Rattus norvegicus: one gene and its partner. The protein of the gene in region 2 purifies or fractionates together with the protein of the main gene of each other region. This does not show direct contact. Links are inferred from orthologs where the notes say so. Each region holds a gene or a part of one and is shown on either strand. Other genes may lie near its edges.

What was found.
Region 1: the proteins of Tom1 (region 2) and Cltc purify together in Homo sapiens (affinity purification with western blotting, with the first as the bait; 3 studies listed by BioGRID). This does not show direct contact. The link is inferred for Rattus norvegicus from reciprocal best matches to the Homo sapiens genes TOM1 and CLTC.

Annotation. Positions count from the first base shown.
Region 1 is NC_086028.1:72,023,898-72,031,722, forward strand, and holds part of Cltc (clathrin heavy chain 1), read right to left. Parts: intron 5,827-7,825; coding exon 5,704-5,826; intron 4,466-5,703; coding exon 4,320-4,465; intron 3,863-4,319; coding exon 3,679-3,862; intron 3,495-3,678; coding exon 3,302-3,494; intron 2,569-3,301; coding exon 2,411-2,568; intron 1,721-2,410; coding exon 1,556-1,720; intron 1,432-1,555; coding exon 1,324-1,431; intron 1,247-1,323; coding exon 1,079-1,246; intron 967-1,078; coding exon 685-966; intron 590-684; coding exon 479-589; intron 1-478. UniProt on the Homo sapiens protein: Clathrin is the major protein of the polyhedral coat of coated pits and vesicles. Two different adapter protein complexes link the clathrin lattice either to the plasma membrane or to the trans-Golgi network.
Region 2 is NC_086037.1:13,407,365-13,415,637, reverse strand, and holds the start of Tom1 (target of Myb1 membrane trafficking protein), read right to left. Parts: upstream 4,395-8,273; 5' UTR 4,324-4,394; coding exon 4,272-4,323; exon of another isoform or gene 1,063-4,271; intron 1-1,062. Other genes in the region: Hmgxb4 (HMG domain-containing protein 4), read right to left, coding at 8,242-8,273.

The sequences.
Region 1 (7,825 bases), on a different chromosome or scaffold from region 2:
ATGCCCTCTTCTGGTGTATCTGAAGACAGCTACAGTGTACTTATATATATATAATAAATAAATAAATCTAAAAAAAAAAACAAAAAAAAAAAAAAACCAAAATGGCTACAGTTATAAAAAAAAAAAAAAAAAAAAAAAAAAGAAAAGTGACAAATTGTTAGGTCCACTTTACAGCAGTTAAGTTTATAGACTGAAAGATCAGTGTCTCTGGGATGTGGAATAAGGATGTAAGAGAGCAAGGACCCACATGTTAAACTGTTTTATCAAAGCATATATAAAATGTGTCTAACCCAAAGAGTAGAACTTATTATAAAACCGAACACTTACCCATCACGAAAACCTTGCTGAATTTAGGGCGTAAGCATCGATGTGCCTGCTACTTAGAAATGTAAGGCTAACTGGGGTTGTTACCACAGAGCCCCGTCAGTTAACCCTGTCAGAGTGTGATGCTGAGTGTTTACAGAACCCAAGGCTTTACCTGGTAATCCTCCTCTGTGATAAAGAGGTTGTTCAGGGATTCGTTCACGGACTTGTTGTTGTGGTTCTGAACTGAGCGTAAATATGGTTTCACCAGTGGTAGCTGTTTAACCTTTAAAATAAAGTTTGTTAGAAAGATATCCACAGCTGAGAACTGTTATCCAATCTGTCAAAATCCTCACTGTAGAGTTCAGGGCAAGAAGTTACCTTGCTGAAATAATTGACTGCACGAGTATGATCCAACCGTGGAGACAGCACCATGAGCAAGTCATTTAACAACAAGGGCTTGAATTCTAAGTAGAACTGGATTGCTTTGTAGTACAGTTCCACATTAGCCACCTTGGTGATGATGTCTTTGAACTGCCCTTCCTTCCATGCGTCGGTGGGGTGATTCATCATAGTGATGATGGCATTATCATACTCTTCATACTTGTCATACAGAAACACCAGCTCTGCCCAAAGATGGGCTTGCTCTGCGGCTCTCAGCACCTGAGGACAAAACCAGTTGCTTTAGATGTAAATCTTACTCTTGCTATCAGCCTAACAAGGAAAATGTATTTTAAATTATTAGAGTCGCCTCACAGTGGTGAAGACTGGTTACCTTAGGAATATTCACTCTTGACCAAAACAACTCTAGGTGTTCCCTCATTTTCTGTGGCTTGAATTTAGAATACAAAATTGCTAGCTCTGTGAACATTCCCATGTGAGCTCGCTCTAGTCCCAAGGCTGCCTCCAACATGGTGATGAGTTCTTCAAAATATCCACGATCCTATACGAAGAAAAAATGCAATTAGAGAGAATATGCGTACAAAGGTTTCAATTCATGTAAAGGTCTGGTGTCATTACCTGATAGTAGTTGATAAGCTCCTCTAATTCATCTGCATGCACAACAATATGGAGTCCACACATCTGAGCAAGGCGAAACTCTTTCCCATCTACACAGGCAAAGCAGACCTAGAAAAAACATTTTCCACTATGAGAACTCAAATATAAATAAATGCAATTATTTCAACTCAACAGTAGAAAAAAGTTTTCAAACAAAACGTTAACTCCTGATTGGAACCTGGGTTTAGAATACCTCTTTCCATGTTCGAGTACTATTAGCTTTTCTAGCACCATCAACTGCTGCCTGATACTCGCCAAGGTGAACCAGGGTAGACGCCAAACGTCCAAAGTTAGAAACATTATTGTACAACAACTTAGCAGCATCATACATTTTCTCATCATAACAACGGTCACCAACCTAGGGGGGAAAAGCAATCCACGATCAGTAAAATACAGGTGTCAGCTCAATCCTTTTTCAAAATTTGTATCTTACACCAAAGGAAAAGATATGCATATGCTGTAATCCAGCACCCAGAAGTTGATGCAGTTTACCAAGTTTAAAGACACATCCTTCATGCCACTGAGGAATTCCATCTCAAAAATTACAAATAAAATGAATGAACATATACACACTCCTAAGAACAGTTTAATTTCATAGTCCTAACACATTGATTCTGCCAGGGTGGTAAGCTGCTCATTGAATTTTCATGTGTTAAAATGTGGAGGTAGGAAGATAACTCAGTTGGAAAGTACTTGCCGTGTAAACAATAGGATGTGAGTTAATATCCATGACCCACATAAAAAGTCAGGTGTGGTGTGTGCTTGGAATCCCAGCAGAGTGGTAGGTCAGTCTTTTGTGCTTGCTGGCCAGCTAGCTCAAATTACTTAGACCCATGCCAACAAGAGACCCTGTTGTTTTTTTCTAAGTGGATGGTTTCTAAGGAATAAAAATAAAGCCTGCCCTTGGCCTTCATATGCACTTTTATGCGAGCATCCCACTAAACACGCGCGCGCGCGCACACACGCACACACACACACACACACACACACACACACACACACACACACACACACACGAGAGGGGAGGGAATTTAAACAGGAAACTCACTTGCTGAATATGAGCATTATTTGGCCCATTGATGAACTCTTCTAATTCTGCAAGACGGTTTGTTTTAGCCAGTGCAAATATCAATTCTGTCTCCACGTAGGACTCTCGGGCCTTCTTGCGTGCCATCTGCAAATACTTCACCAATTCTTCCCAGTTTCCTAAATAAAGAGAAAAATAAGCCCATAAACTAGCACTCTTATATTTCCAACCAAATATGTTAGATGTCCCCCTGCTAATTTGTTTTTTGAGAGTGTCATGCTATGTATATAGCCTAGGCAGTCCGTGAATTTAAGGCCTCCTGCCTCAGTGGCAGGAGTACATCACCACACCAGCTTAACTCTTTTTTCAAAGAAATATTATGTAGAATGACAAATGTAAAACTGGATATATCTAAAGTCTAAAAATTCCACTACACGTCTGTATTATTACTGCCCTAAAATTGCTTGATACTTCTCCCCACTTTAAAGTTATATACTAGAGCTCTATCAGGATTTTATCAGACCTCAAAACAAAATTAATTTTCTCCATGGATTTTCTTTTTTTTTTTTAATTTATTCATTTATTATATATAAGTACACTGTAGCTGTCTTCAGACACACCAGAAGAGGGCATCGGATCTCTTTATAGATGGTTGTGAGCCACCATGTGGTTGCTGGGAATTGAACTCAGGACCTCTGGAAGAGCAGTCGGTGCTCTTAACCGCTGAGCCATCTCTCCAGCCCCCTGGATTTTCTAAATTCATATAATTCAGTCAGTCTGAGATGCTGAGCTGAACGTTTTCACAAGTAACCAGGGAGTGCTAACCTCTATACTAGCAAAAGTATAGAATGTACTGAATGTTTGGCTTAGTAATTGTTTGGAGGTCTTAAAGACATAGACAAGAAGCCTTACCACTAGTATTGGCGGCCTGAACAACTTCCATGTAAGACGAAGGATCATCTGCTTTGATGTAAGAATCAATGGCTTCCTTCACCATCCCTTTCTGCAACTGAGCTTTTGCGAGTTGACTCCAAACAGCAGGCTCATTGCAGCGTTCAGCAAACTCATATGCACGATCCAGGTTTCCAATATGTTCAATTAACACCTGGGCAACATTTTTGAATTGGTGTTACAGTAAAATGGATCTTACCCAACAGAATTACATTTAAACAGACAGCATTTTATGATTATTCTGTGAAAGCAATCTGTGCACACGCTCACAAGACAATATATTCTTAACATCAAGACATTAGAGTCAGTATCTCAATTTATGTAACTTCATGATTTACCTGCACTGCTGAAGTATTGACATCAAACTTCCGGAAAATAGCAAATGCTTCTTCGAAGAGCTCATTGCTGATGGCAATGTTGGCAATATCTGGCGCATCATAATTGTCCAGGCGGTTAATATACTCCATAACTCGGGTTCGGTCAGCCTTAATTGCAGTGAGGATGAGGAGGTTTTGCAGATTCCTTAAGAAACAAACATTCAACACAATGTTTAAAAAGGTCATCAATGATGAGGAAACACTGTGGCACTAGACGGTTACTTGTGTCAAGGTCAAGGTAAGAAGAGACAGTATTAGGAGAGTAACAATCAAGAAAGCTGCCTAGTTGGGGATTTAGCTCAGTGGTAGAGCACTTGCCTAGGAAGCGCAAGGCCCTGGGTTCGGTCCCCAGCTCCGAAAAAAAAAAAAAGTTTAAAAAAGGTGATTACTTTTGGGGCTGGGGATTTAGCTCAGTGGTAGAGCGCTTACCTAGGAAGCGCAAGGCCCTGGGTTCGATCCCCAGCTCCGAAAAAAAGAACCAAAAAAAAAAAAAAAAAAAAAAAAAAAGAAAGCTGCCTATTCACTTTGTTTCTGTTCCTTCCCCAAACTGACAGGCCACAGTGAAAGACTGAGAAAGCCAATGCAATCCCCTGCCAGCTTACCTGTGTTCACTGAATACAGAGTTATCAAGGACAATTTTCTCCAGCAGCTCAATGAGTTCATTAGGAAGATCTGCTGTCATAAAAGCCTTGACAGTTACTGACACTTCTTCTGGGTCCTGAGTTTCAGACAAGGCTGTCTGTACGACCTACAAAGGACATACATGGAAGAGTTAAAAAAATAAAAAAATAAAAAATCAAGGTGTTTTTAAAAAGACATTGGCTGGTAACAATAAGTTAGTTAACATCTCAATAGAAAATCTCAAATAGAAGGAAAAATGCCCTTTCTACTCGAAGACCTTTGTACACAATATACATGGACACACATTGTTTATAATTATGTTCCCATCAGCAGTTATGTCACTTGCACTTTCCCTGATAGAACACTATCCATGATAACTTATCACTATTACTGTAATGGGTCCTCATCTTCAAATCCCTAGACACAGATTAGGAAATGAACAACCCTCGTTTGTCTACTTCCATATGCCCAGATGCCATGAGTGCAGGAAGCTTTATCTACATGGGAATGCGCCTTGGAAATGCTTTCTAGAGAGTGTGTGTCACTCTCTTTTTGTGTGTCAGAAGAATTTAAGAATCATTATTATAACAAGCAATAATTAGCGCTTTAAATTCAAGATTTCAATTTCATATAGGTATAAAAATCTCCACTGCAGTGCTGTGTTACTTAGTTAGAATTCTTATACTGGTTTGGGTACAGTGTGTGCATGAAGGTGTACAGGTGCTGTGTCTTGCCAGTCACCAGCATGCTCCAGAGGTCTTCCTGTCTGCCTACCCAGCCCTGCTTGTAGGCGATGCTAGTAACCAGAAACTGGGTCACACTTACCAATAATCTTCATGATACTTGGAATTTAGAAAAGAATTGGAGATAGAATCTTGCTACACTCACAGGATGATGTTAATTAACTCAAACTCATACTCTTTCTTTCTCTCTCAAACTCCTAAGTACTAGGGACTTTAAGCTGTTAGACCCAAACATTACTTGGATTTTTGGTTTTTGAATTATCAATCCTCTTTGTGTGCTGACTTACTGCTTTCAATGTCTTAATTTCAGTCATGTATCAGCTAACGATTTGGAGTCAATCCTAATTTATTCCCTTTCTTTAATGGTGATGAACTTAATATAAATTTATGGTTTTAGATTTCACTTTCCTTATAATATTTTACACACACACACACACACACACACACACACACACACACACACACAAACAATTTTACATTTATATAGTACAATTTTAATGTTTTTTTTACTTTTTGTGTCTTCTGTTATAGTTAAATATGACCCATTTGAATATATTTGGATATGTAATGAGAGGAAAGTATTCCAGGTCAGAAAGAAGTGAAACATTTTTGTCACATTTACCTGGTCAATTAATGGTCTTCTGTATGGATTGCTTTCCAGTAGCACACTACCCCACAACTCTGGATCCTTTCGACGGACCAGGTAGCGAGAAAGACTTTTGAAGAGGGAATTCTCATTGCAAACCTAATTAAAACAGCCAGGTTAATTTCAGCGCAATTACAGAAAACGAGTCTGACAGTTATTTGCAATCATGTCAACTCTTTAAAAAAAAAAATCTAGGGAATATCACAGTCAAATATTCCCATTAGAATTCAACAATGAAAAGAAAAAAGAAATTTTAGGAGCTTTTTAGAAGACTCCTAGTATAGCACCTGGTTTTCTTCTTTGCTTGAGCTTCAAATTTCTTTATCCTCCTCTACTTCTCACATGCTAGAATTACAGACACACACTCGCATATTTAGCTTATTTTTGATGTTCAAGCACTAGTATTGTATTAACTTTAAATCATAGCTTTGTATTACACTCTAATACAGGTCTGGTTGCCTTCAAAACTTTCTTCCAGTGTTTCATTAGATACTGAACACTTTTCCATACACCTGCATATAAATATGTATCATCTTTGAAAGCACATACAAACACAGATAAGTTTCTAAGATCTGACCACAGAACAACGCTAGAAGCAATCTTCAGGGCAGAACTCAGTTACTAACGGCATCTTTCATTAAAAAGGGTAGGGGCTGCCTGGAAAAATGGGCAACTCTAATCTGGGAAAGTTGCACAATGAACCTTGAAGTTCATCAACAACCAGGCAACAATGTGAATGCTAACAGAAATTACAGTAATGGACTGTAATTCAGAGTACAACAGGAGTCCATAAATCCGAGAATACTGACGAATAAATATGACAGAACTTTTTTTCAGTGCTGTGATTGTAATCAGGGCCTCATTCATGCAGGCCCAGTAACTCTAACCTGTAACTGGTAAACAGGAGAAAGGGCTACAGTAGTCATCAACCTAGTAACAATGTCTTAGGTTACAAAGGCCTAGTAAGCAGGGACAAGGAGAAAGGACCTGTGGGTGAGTGTGCTCATTTCTTTACCAAAGTACTCCCGAATGGGAAGTGGACAATTCAGTGGAGACTGGCAACATAAAGAAAGAAAATGGCAGCACAGAGCAAACATTATTTAAGCAGTATTCCAAGTAGAGATGTATGATCTAAAAATCTAATTATAGAGAACCATTATTGAAATACTTGATTTTAGCTGCAAAGCAAAGAAATGATTCAGGGAAACTCAGAAATGTTTTTCTGCGGCCAGGCATTCAGCACTGCAGGAGGAAGAACCAGAGGCCATACATTTATATGAAATGTACAGGGGTCAGCAATATGGCTTAATAGGTAGCTTGCCACCAAGGCTGATGACCAGAGTGGTTCATGAGACCCACATACATTGAGGAGATAAAAGATTCCCACTAGTTGTTCTGACTTCTACATACTTGTGCACAAGTAATAAATACTTTAATTAAAAAAAAAAATACAGAACAGGGAAATCCACAGGAGTTGGGTGTGGTTTGGCAGCTGTGAGGTTCTATGAGAAGGGAGTACATGAAGATTTACTAAAAAGAAGCTCTCCTTTCTCAGTGCTGAGAGCCTGGAAAGTGGGAAAGAGTGTTGATTTGCAACACTCAACTCACTAAAAGCCACTGAGATGTTCACTTTACAATGGAAAATTTGATTATGCACTTATTTCACAGCAACAACAACAAAAAACCTAACTAAATACAAATTTCAAAATGAGTTTTAGCAAACGTATCTATCATTTAAAAACAAACAAGTTTCCAAGGACTGATTTAGAATAAAGAGGCTGAAGAGTGGACACAATGGTGATGGTAAACTACAGAAAACCCTGACAACACTGAAACCAAACCTTTCAGAGTTTCTTGTTACCCTCTGACTGACTGTTGCTGGTATCTATATAAAGATACGTCTTCATTCCTAGAAAGTAGAACCCGATGGATACAAACCCGTGAGGAATGTACTGTGGCTGAAATGCTATGTTAAGGTACGCTTGAGCGTGTACAAGAACACAAGCAGAGCTGATACAGGCCAAATCAGCAGAGAGTGAGTGTACAGACTTGCGTTTACTACTATCTCCAAACACAGTTTTAAAATAGCACCCATCTG
Region 2 (8,273 bases):
ATGTAAACACTGTGTTGAAATAGGGTCTCACTATGCAGACCAGGCTAGCCTGGATCAGCCTGCCTCTGTCTCTGTCTCCTGAGTACTGGGATTAGAGACGTGCAGTACCACACCCGAGAAGAATGATGTTTAATGACATATGGCGATGACACGAACTCAAATACACGGCCCATACAGTTTTATTGGAGCATGGTCACACCCATTCTTTTACCTATTGTCTTTGGCTGCTCTGCAGAAATGATCCTGTTGAGTATTTCAACAGAGACCAGATGGCCTCTAAAGCCTTGAGGATTTACTGTGAAGTCCTTTGCAGAGTAAGCCTGGTCTAGTCCACCCCGATAGTCATGTGAGAGTCCTCTGAAGTCCTAGCCTTTGACCTCTACCTAGCCAGTCTCTGACAGGTCCAGGGTTGGCTGCCTAACCTGGCACTGACTTCTTGGAATAGTACACTGCCCCTCTGTGCTGTGCAGCACTAACCCTTCCCCATTCTCATTACCTTGCAGCTGCTGTTCACCAGCCCTTTGGGAAGGAAAAGTGGGGGTACGTCCGTGTTCCATTATAGATGAGCAGGGGAGACAGGGCTGCAATAGTTGGGGCAGACAAGGGATACTACCTGGTATAGGCCACTGGACGCTGGGGGCCACAGGCTGCGGCCGCCCTTGTGGGGCTCTTCTAGAGTGACTCGGAGGTGGGTGAAAACTCACCATTATGCTATAATCTTTGGTAGATTAATAACACAGATTAATCCTGCGGGGTCCTGCTGATATAAATTCAAGCTAGGACCAGAGTAGACTGGTGTGTTCAGAGGCAAGGGAGAACGTTGTGACCCTGAGTAGTTAGGCTACTCTCCCACCAGTTAAGGCTCAAACCCCAGACCAACAGACACGCCCGAGGTGCTTATTTAACATATCGAAGCGAACCTGGCCTCCAGGTTCTCCCAGTATCCCTCAGTCCCTGCGGGTTGCAAGGTCCTCCTGTCCTGCACATTCCAACCCCTGCCCTAAATTTCTCCAGCCCAGGTATTAGCCTAGACTTCCCTCCCCACAGCTGCCCTTCCCTACACAATCTAATAATTTTGGTTCTCTGGTCTTTTTTCATGTACCTTTTACCTTGCAGGCCTCTTGGTGTGGCTCTGCTCCCTCCCTGCTGGGCACCCATGTTCACTCTGAATTCTCCCAGAGGTCTTTGCTTCTGGCTATGCTTTCCCTTTTATCTACAATAAACTTTCTCCTTCACCATACTCAAGACCAAGCCATGTCCTTCCTTTTTTCTTTTTTTCCTGGTCACCTCCTTCTAGGTGCTGAGGCATCAGGAAAGAAAAGGAGAGCTCCTGCTCTCAACTCATGCCAGGCTGGGGACAGCCTTTCAGGGACAGTGATACATCAGTGTGATGGAGGTGGAACAAGAACACGAGGTGGCGGGAGCTGTTTCCCATACCCTCTCACTGCACAGGCACTCTGAAAGACTGGCTTCCTTATAACCTCTCTCAGGCAAGAGCGTTCAAGTTTACAAACTAAAGTTCCCACGAAAGCTACACCTGGGTTAAAGATGTTAGAAGGTTGACTACAACTTTGTGATGGCGGAGAGTTGGAATGCTGCAGATCTTGAGACAAATTACCTTGCTTTAGACCCTTAGTAACCACTTATTGCTTATCTTGTGTCTGACCTAACATTTCTGTGACTACCAGGTAACGCCTTTTGGAATAAGTTAATAGAAAACTAGTGTCTACCAACCCAAACTTAGTAATGTCATCAGCTAGCACCTGAGACATGGAGCCTAGATTTTCATGCTTTGCTGTAGCCTGAGTGTCTGGTTTATGGCTTGCTTTTGTTCTCTGCAACTACAAAAAATATCATGAAACCATTTCCACATTGGACCACGTTATTTGGGGTGATGCGAATCTGTATTCTTGGGTCATGGCAATTCATATTTGGTCCGGGGATAGAATGAAGTATCTCTGATTTCCCTTGAGGTGAGAGCTGTTTTGTGCCTACAGGACGCAGACTGAGGACAGAACACAAGAGCAGAGATTGGGTCAGGAGATGGGACACGGCCTCAGGGAGGAGGTGGTGCCCAGTGCTTCCGGGCATGAGCCCAGCTCCTCACAGCAGCAGAAATTTCCAGTGAGACCAGCCAAGTGTCAAGGTGTATGTGAATTGTGAGGCCAGTGACACTGGGCCCTGATTAGCACCACTGAACGACTGCTATCCCCTAGGATGTTAATCCTATAACACTCCACTCTTAGGGCAGGAGGTCAGCAGACCTGAGAAGATACCACTTTACTCCTGCAGCAAAGAGGGGCCTGGGCTATAAAGAATACAAGCAGCTAAAACCTGGCCACCAATCATCACAGCCAGTCAGGTCTTCGCCACTTGGAAGCTGATGGGGGAGGACTGCTTAAGGCCTGAAGCTCCTGACCAACCTGGTCAACACTGAGAGACCCTGTCTCAAAAAAACCAACGCAGGCTCAACCTCCAGTGCTTCTATCTTGACACACGGAAGAGTATGGAACACTGCTGTTGTTCTTCAAGGTAGGGTCTCTCTCTGTAGCCCAGGCTGGACTTGAACTCAAAATCTTCCTGTTTCAGCCTCCTAAGTGCTGTTCCACCACCCCTGGCTCTTTTACAGCTTTGCCATCTCATCGCACTGCACTGGATTTTGGGGGTTCCTCAGTCTTCACCCCCTTCCTTCTGTAGAACTTGATCTCTTCCTCTCAGTAAAGGGAAGGGCCACGGGACAGAATGGACTGGTGTTTTGTTTGAAACAGGGTCTTACACTGCAGCTTATGCTGCCCTGCAATGAATTTCAGAGTCCAGTTAGCCTGGGACTTTGTGGCAATCCTCCTGTCTTAGTCTCCTGGGTGTAGGATTACAGATGTGAGCCACCGCTTCTGGTGGGAGGTTTCGAAACGTGTGCTCTCCCAGCCAACTGCAAAGAACATGACTGGGAACCCTACACCTGCCCATCTGAGTCTTGGATCGGTCCAACCTATTCTGACATGAACCCCAAGGCAGAGAGGGTCCAGCAGTGAGATTTAATCAGCGCTCCAAGGTACTGATGTAGCAGCACTCTTATCCAGGAGTATTTTTTGCCCGAGGCAGGCAAACTTTCAGGGCAGGAAGAGATGCTGAGCTTTGAACTGAACGGCATCTTAAACCCAAATGAGCTTATCCAGGTCTCTGGACTTTCAGGCTGGCTTTGAAGGCCAGACTAATTTGCCTTTGTCTTTACATAAGACATCTGAGAAGAGGGCTGCCTTCTCTTTCCGGGTCTCAAACAACGATTTATGGTGGGGTTTTTGTGAAGCACCTGGGCTCCAGGCGCCAGAGTTCCCTGCAGAGAACTGATGAGAACCTCAAAAGAGCCACTAACAGCTGCAGTGGTGGTTACAACACAGCTGGACTAACGACTTCGGGGAAGCCTTGGCTTTCAGATCCAGCCTTCCCAGGCTGGACCAACGGCGAAAAAAAAACATCAAAAATAATTTCACAATGCGGTCAGATAAAGGGGATGTGTGTCACGCCCAGACCACCCATTCCTGGGTAAATGTCGCCAGCTGGCCTTCGCCCGAGAGTAGATGCTGGGCGCCGGCATCTTCCCATGGGCTCCAGCTTCAGTAGGCGGTACCTCGTTGACAATGACAGGCGTTAGCCATGTGCCAGGAAACATCCTCAATGCCTCGCGCTTATTAATGCATTTAATGATCAAAGAAGTCCAGCAAGGCCATGCCATGATCCTTAAACTATGGGCGAGGACCATCAAGGAGGCGACGTCACATAAACCCGAGTCTCCCGACCATGGGGACAGAGGCGCGGCCGAACCTAGATACCCCGGCGTCTCGGAATGTGAGCGGCGGGTGACGCGGCGAATGACCCAGGCGCCGCCAGCCCGGGAGAGGCTCTAAGCCTGCGCGCGCCCAGCGGTGGCGCGGCCCAACGCCTTCTCACCACAGCAGTCCCTTTAACCCAAACTTTCTCCCTCTACTCTGGACCCCAGCACGCACACATTGGCTGAGCCACATCCGCCCAGAACTGTCTCCTTCTCCTGCCTATTGGTTACATCAAGCATCAATCCCCATATAAGAATTCCGATTGGCCTGTGCTCTTGTCAATCAGGTGGGAGTCATAGGGTAGGCGGAGCCCAGAGCGCCGCGCCAGCCTCGCAGCCTAGCCTCCCTCCTCCCAGCCCTGACTGTGGACTCCGACAGGTCCCAGGGTCGAGGCCAGAGCGGCACACAGGGGCGGGACTGCACGCGGCTCCCGGGACTCACCGATCCGCTGTCCCACGGGAGAACTGAACGGGTTTCCCAGGAGAAAGTCCATTGCCGCGGCTACCACTGCCACCAGCTCCCAGAATCAGGTGACAGCAACCGCCGGCGCCGCCGACCCGTCACGTGACCCGCTGGCCGGCCCGCGGGGAGGTGCCGGCAGGCGGGGGCTCTGGGGCGCAGCCACGAGCCCCGCCCCCTACCGGGCTGCCCCTCGGCAGTGGCTGACGCCACACCAGGGCGGGGCCTGGGAGAGCTGGCTCCTAAGCCACGCCCCCGAAACTTCTATGTGCGCCGCAGTGGAGCCTAGAAGTCTTCACATCCGGAAACTGGGTCTCTGGCCAAGGAAAGACCTGGGTCAGGTTACGCAAGATAACGAAAATATTAGCATCTTAGCCTTTAGTCTTGGGGACCAAGCCCTAAGGACGATAGCCTCCTGTCCAAGTCGGACTCGAAATTTCTATTTGATGTCTCCCTGCTCCAGGAGCCACTCGTTTGTGGCCAAAGAGGAGGCAAGGACCTGGGTTTGTGCTCCTTTGAGACAGAGAATGAACTGAACATACTGTGGCAAGTTCCTTTACCTGGTAAGCCACCTCATCCACCTTGGCTCTTGGGAAACCAGAAAAGTGCTTTTTCTTTACCTGTTCCCCTCATCTGTAAAGGTGGTGGTGGGACGACCAATATCCATAATGTAATGCTTTCAGAGTATTGAGATGACATGAAAATCACTCAACAGGCATTCCGCGATGGTTGCTTCTTCCTTGCTGTATCTTTGTATTATGTTTTTAATTTTTTTTAGATTTATTTATTTATGTATGAGTACGCACTGTTGCTGTCTTCAGACACACCAGAAGAGGGCACTGGCCCATCACAGATGGTTGTGAGCCACCAGGTGGTTGCTGGAAATTGAACTCAGGACCTCTGGAAGAGCAGTCATTGCTCTTATCCTCTGAGCCACCTCTCCAGTGCCAGGCATTATGTTTTAAATTTGTAATTTTTAAAAATCCTGTATGTGTCAGATCGAAACTTACGAGGAATTGATTCTTTCACATTTAATCTCTTGAGATTAAACAAGTACCGTGGGACATCTCACTTCCTCTCTTCCATTCTTGGCAGGGCTGGGGCTCATCCTAGGACCTTGTCACATTAAAAGCCAATGCTCTGCATCCCGTTTTTTTGGACACAGTCTCCCAAGGCTGGTTTCAAACTCAGATCTCAGGGGTGTTGGAATTAAAGGTGTATGTACATTACAACATGCAGCCTTTAATTATTATTCGTGTTTTGCTACTTATGATTTTTAACATCTTGTATTTCCATTAACTTTTTCCTTAGCCATGAAAGGCCAAATTTCCATATTTCAGTGTTTATAGTATTAGCACACATTCACGTCAGGCCACATGGCTGTAGACTCAGAGACAAGGAGGTGACATCACATCCCCATTTTTTTTTAAATAGACAAGACTCTGGAAAGATCCTGGGATATGAACTACTTTTTAGCATAGGATTTTCATGCAACCCTGACAAAGATTGATGGATACTTCTTGATGTAGGCCAATAACATATTGTATATGGTTTCATCTGCCAAGCACTAGAGCCACACTTATCCGATTCTCTCCTTTTATAATATAAGAAAGTGATATTTGAGAGCCTTTACATATAAGGTGTGTTCAACCTGAGACACAGGGCTGCATGGCTCAGGATCGATAGGAATGTGGTAACTTGGCCTTTATTTCAGGTTTTGGTTTAAAAACTTTAAAATTTTAATTATGTTTGGTGTGTACCTCTGTGTGGGTGTATGCACTTGTGTGCCTGTGCCTAAGGAGGCCACAGAGGGTGACTGATCCTCTGGGACTGGACTTACATTCGGTTGAATGAATGCTGGGATCTAACTTGGGTCCTTTCCAAGAGCAGGAAATAGTCATAACCAATGAACCATCTCTTCAACCCCCCCACCCCCCGCCCTTTTAGAGAAATGCTAGGGTAGAGTAGAGTGAATGACAGGTTTTACAATTTTATAGCAACTATGACTAGCCCAATTAGGGAAAAGACAGCTAAGACTGGACTATAAATATTAAAAATGAGATCTTTAATATAAGTACAAAATTTTGTTTCTTTATACAACTGTAATAGGATTTGGATCAAACCACTAGGATTTATTTAAAAAACAAAATAAAACAATGATATAAAAACAGCAAGAAGGCCTGAATCCAAAGTTTTTCCTCTAATAGTACCAAATACCACAAGGTACAGATTATTATACAAATGTGTACAAATCTTTAATACAAATACAACAGGGCTAGGCTTCAGAGGAAAACAAACACGAAAAAGCCCGTTCTCCTCAGGAGTTCACAACTGTCTGTAGCAAGGGCAATGGAGGACTGGCTGCTTCCTAAACGATACATGCCTTCCTTGGCCTCTCCTGGGTGCCGTTCCTCACAGCAAACTTCTGCAGGTTCAAAGGAGGTTCTGACATGTTAACTCAAATTTAAATTTCTGCTTTGCTTGATTTCAGTTCCCACATATTCCTGTTCCTGTCTCCATTTCTCAGATTACATCTCAGCACTGCTCTGAGCTGAGATGGGGACAGAGCCTCCAGAACTCCTGTGAGAAGCTCGGCCATGACAGCAGTCGGGCTATGGGAAGGTGTTACCTAGGATGCCAGCTGGCTACATGGTCCCCAGAGGTTTACAGTGATGCTGCCATGTTCTTCCAGGCCAGAGGAAGAAAGCTTGGCTAACTCACCACATTTCCAAACAACCCTGGAGTGTTGAGATATCTTCTCTCTGATGGGAAGCAGGCCTGGTTCTTTGGGAATAAGGGCAGTTAGAATGGTGCCATTCCTTTCTATTTCACTTTCCTAACATTATTGAGGGCCATGAAGTTCCTTTCTGAGTCACAACACCTAAACATATGGACGACTTGAGGCTTTTAGACAGACATTAAGAAATGACAAATCTGTATGCTCCACATGTTCCTGCTGCTGGAGGCTTGTTTTTAAATTATATGTACAGAAATTTACAGGATAAATTAAAATCTAAGAAATTCTAAAGAGTTAAATACACATAATTAAAATATACACTCAAACACACATATAGATAACCCTACTGAGAACCAAGGACTTCTCTGTGGTCCAGCTCCGTGTGGAATGCAGAGCACAAAGTACCCACCAGGGGAACCAGAGCTGAACCAAGAGCCACCAGGCAGCTAAGCTGCAGAATCTCTCGGGAGTTGGTGGGCACCCAATGCCGCCAGTGAAAGACGGCAGCTTTGTGTTTTGTACACCAAGCCTTGCTGGCCAGACAAGCAGGTTCAACAGGTGGCACCAACAGCTTTGGTTTCTCCAAGGTATTTATTTTTCTGTGGCCAAGAATCACACACTGAGGCTATAGATGGTGCCCACGACTCTGTGGTACTGTGGGTACAATAAAACTGGAGACACAGATACCTCTTTAGCAGGAACGGGAATGAGTCCCCTACTCAGTCCACCTAAGCTCCACCTCCCCCAGATTATCCCATGTTGGAAAGTCTGTAGTCAGCTGGCCTCCTCCCATGATCTTCACTACACTTCTGATTCTAAGACAGGTAAGGCAAATGGTCAGCGATGGGTCTGCAGGCAAACCCAAGCTTGGAAAAAAAATCACATTTTAGCATTTTACAAGGAGATACATATGGCACCCAGAATAAGCCCCTAGTCCCCAAATTACACTGATTTTTTTAAGGCAGATTTTTTTTCACAAAAAAATAATTCCAAGCCCACATTCATGCCAAAGTTTCCTTTTAGCTAAACCTTTGCCATTTCATAAAATTATTAAAAGCAAAGTAGTTATAATCCTATGTATATACTATACATTATATATGTATATATAGATATAAAAATTTAAAACCTACACCCAGAGGTCAGTGGAAGATCTGGAACAGTCATATATACATAAACGAAGGGGTAGACAGTCTTCTGTCCCAGGCTTCTTGGAGGTCACAGTCCGGGCATGATGTATGCAATGTTGT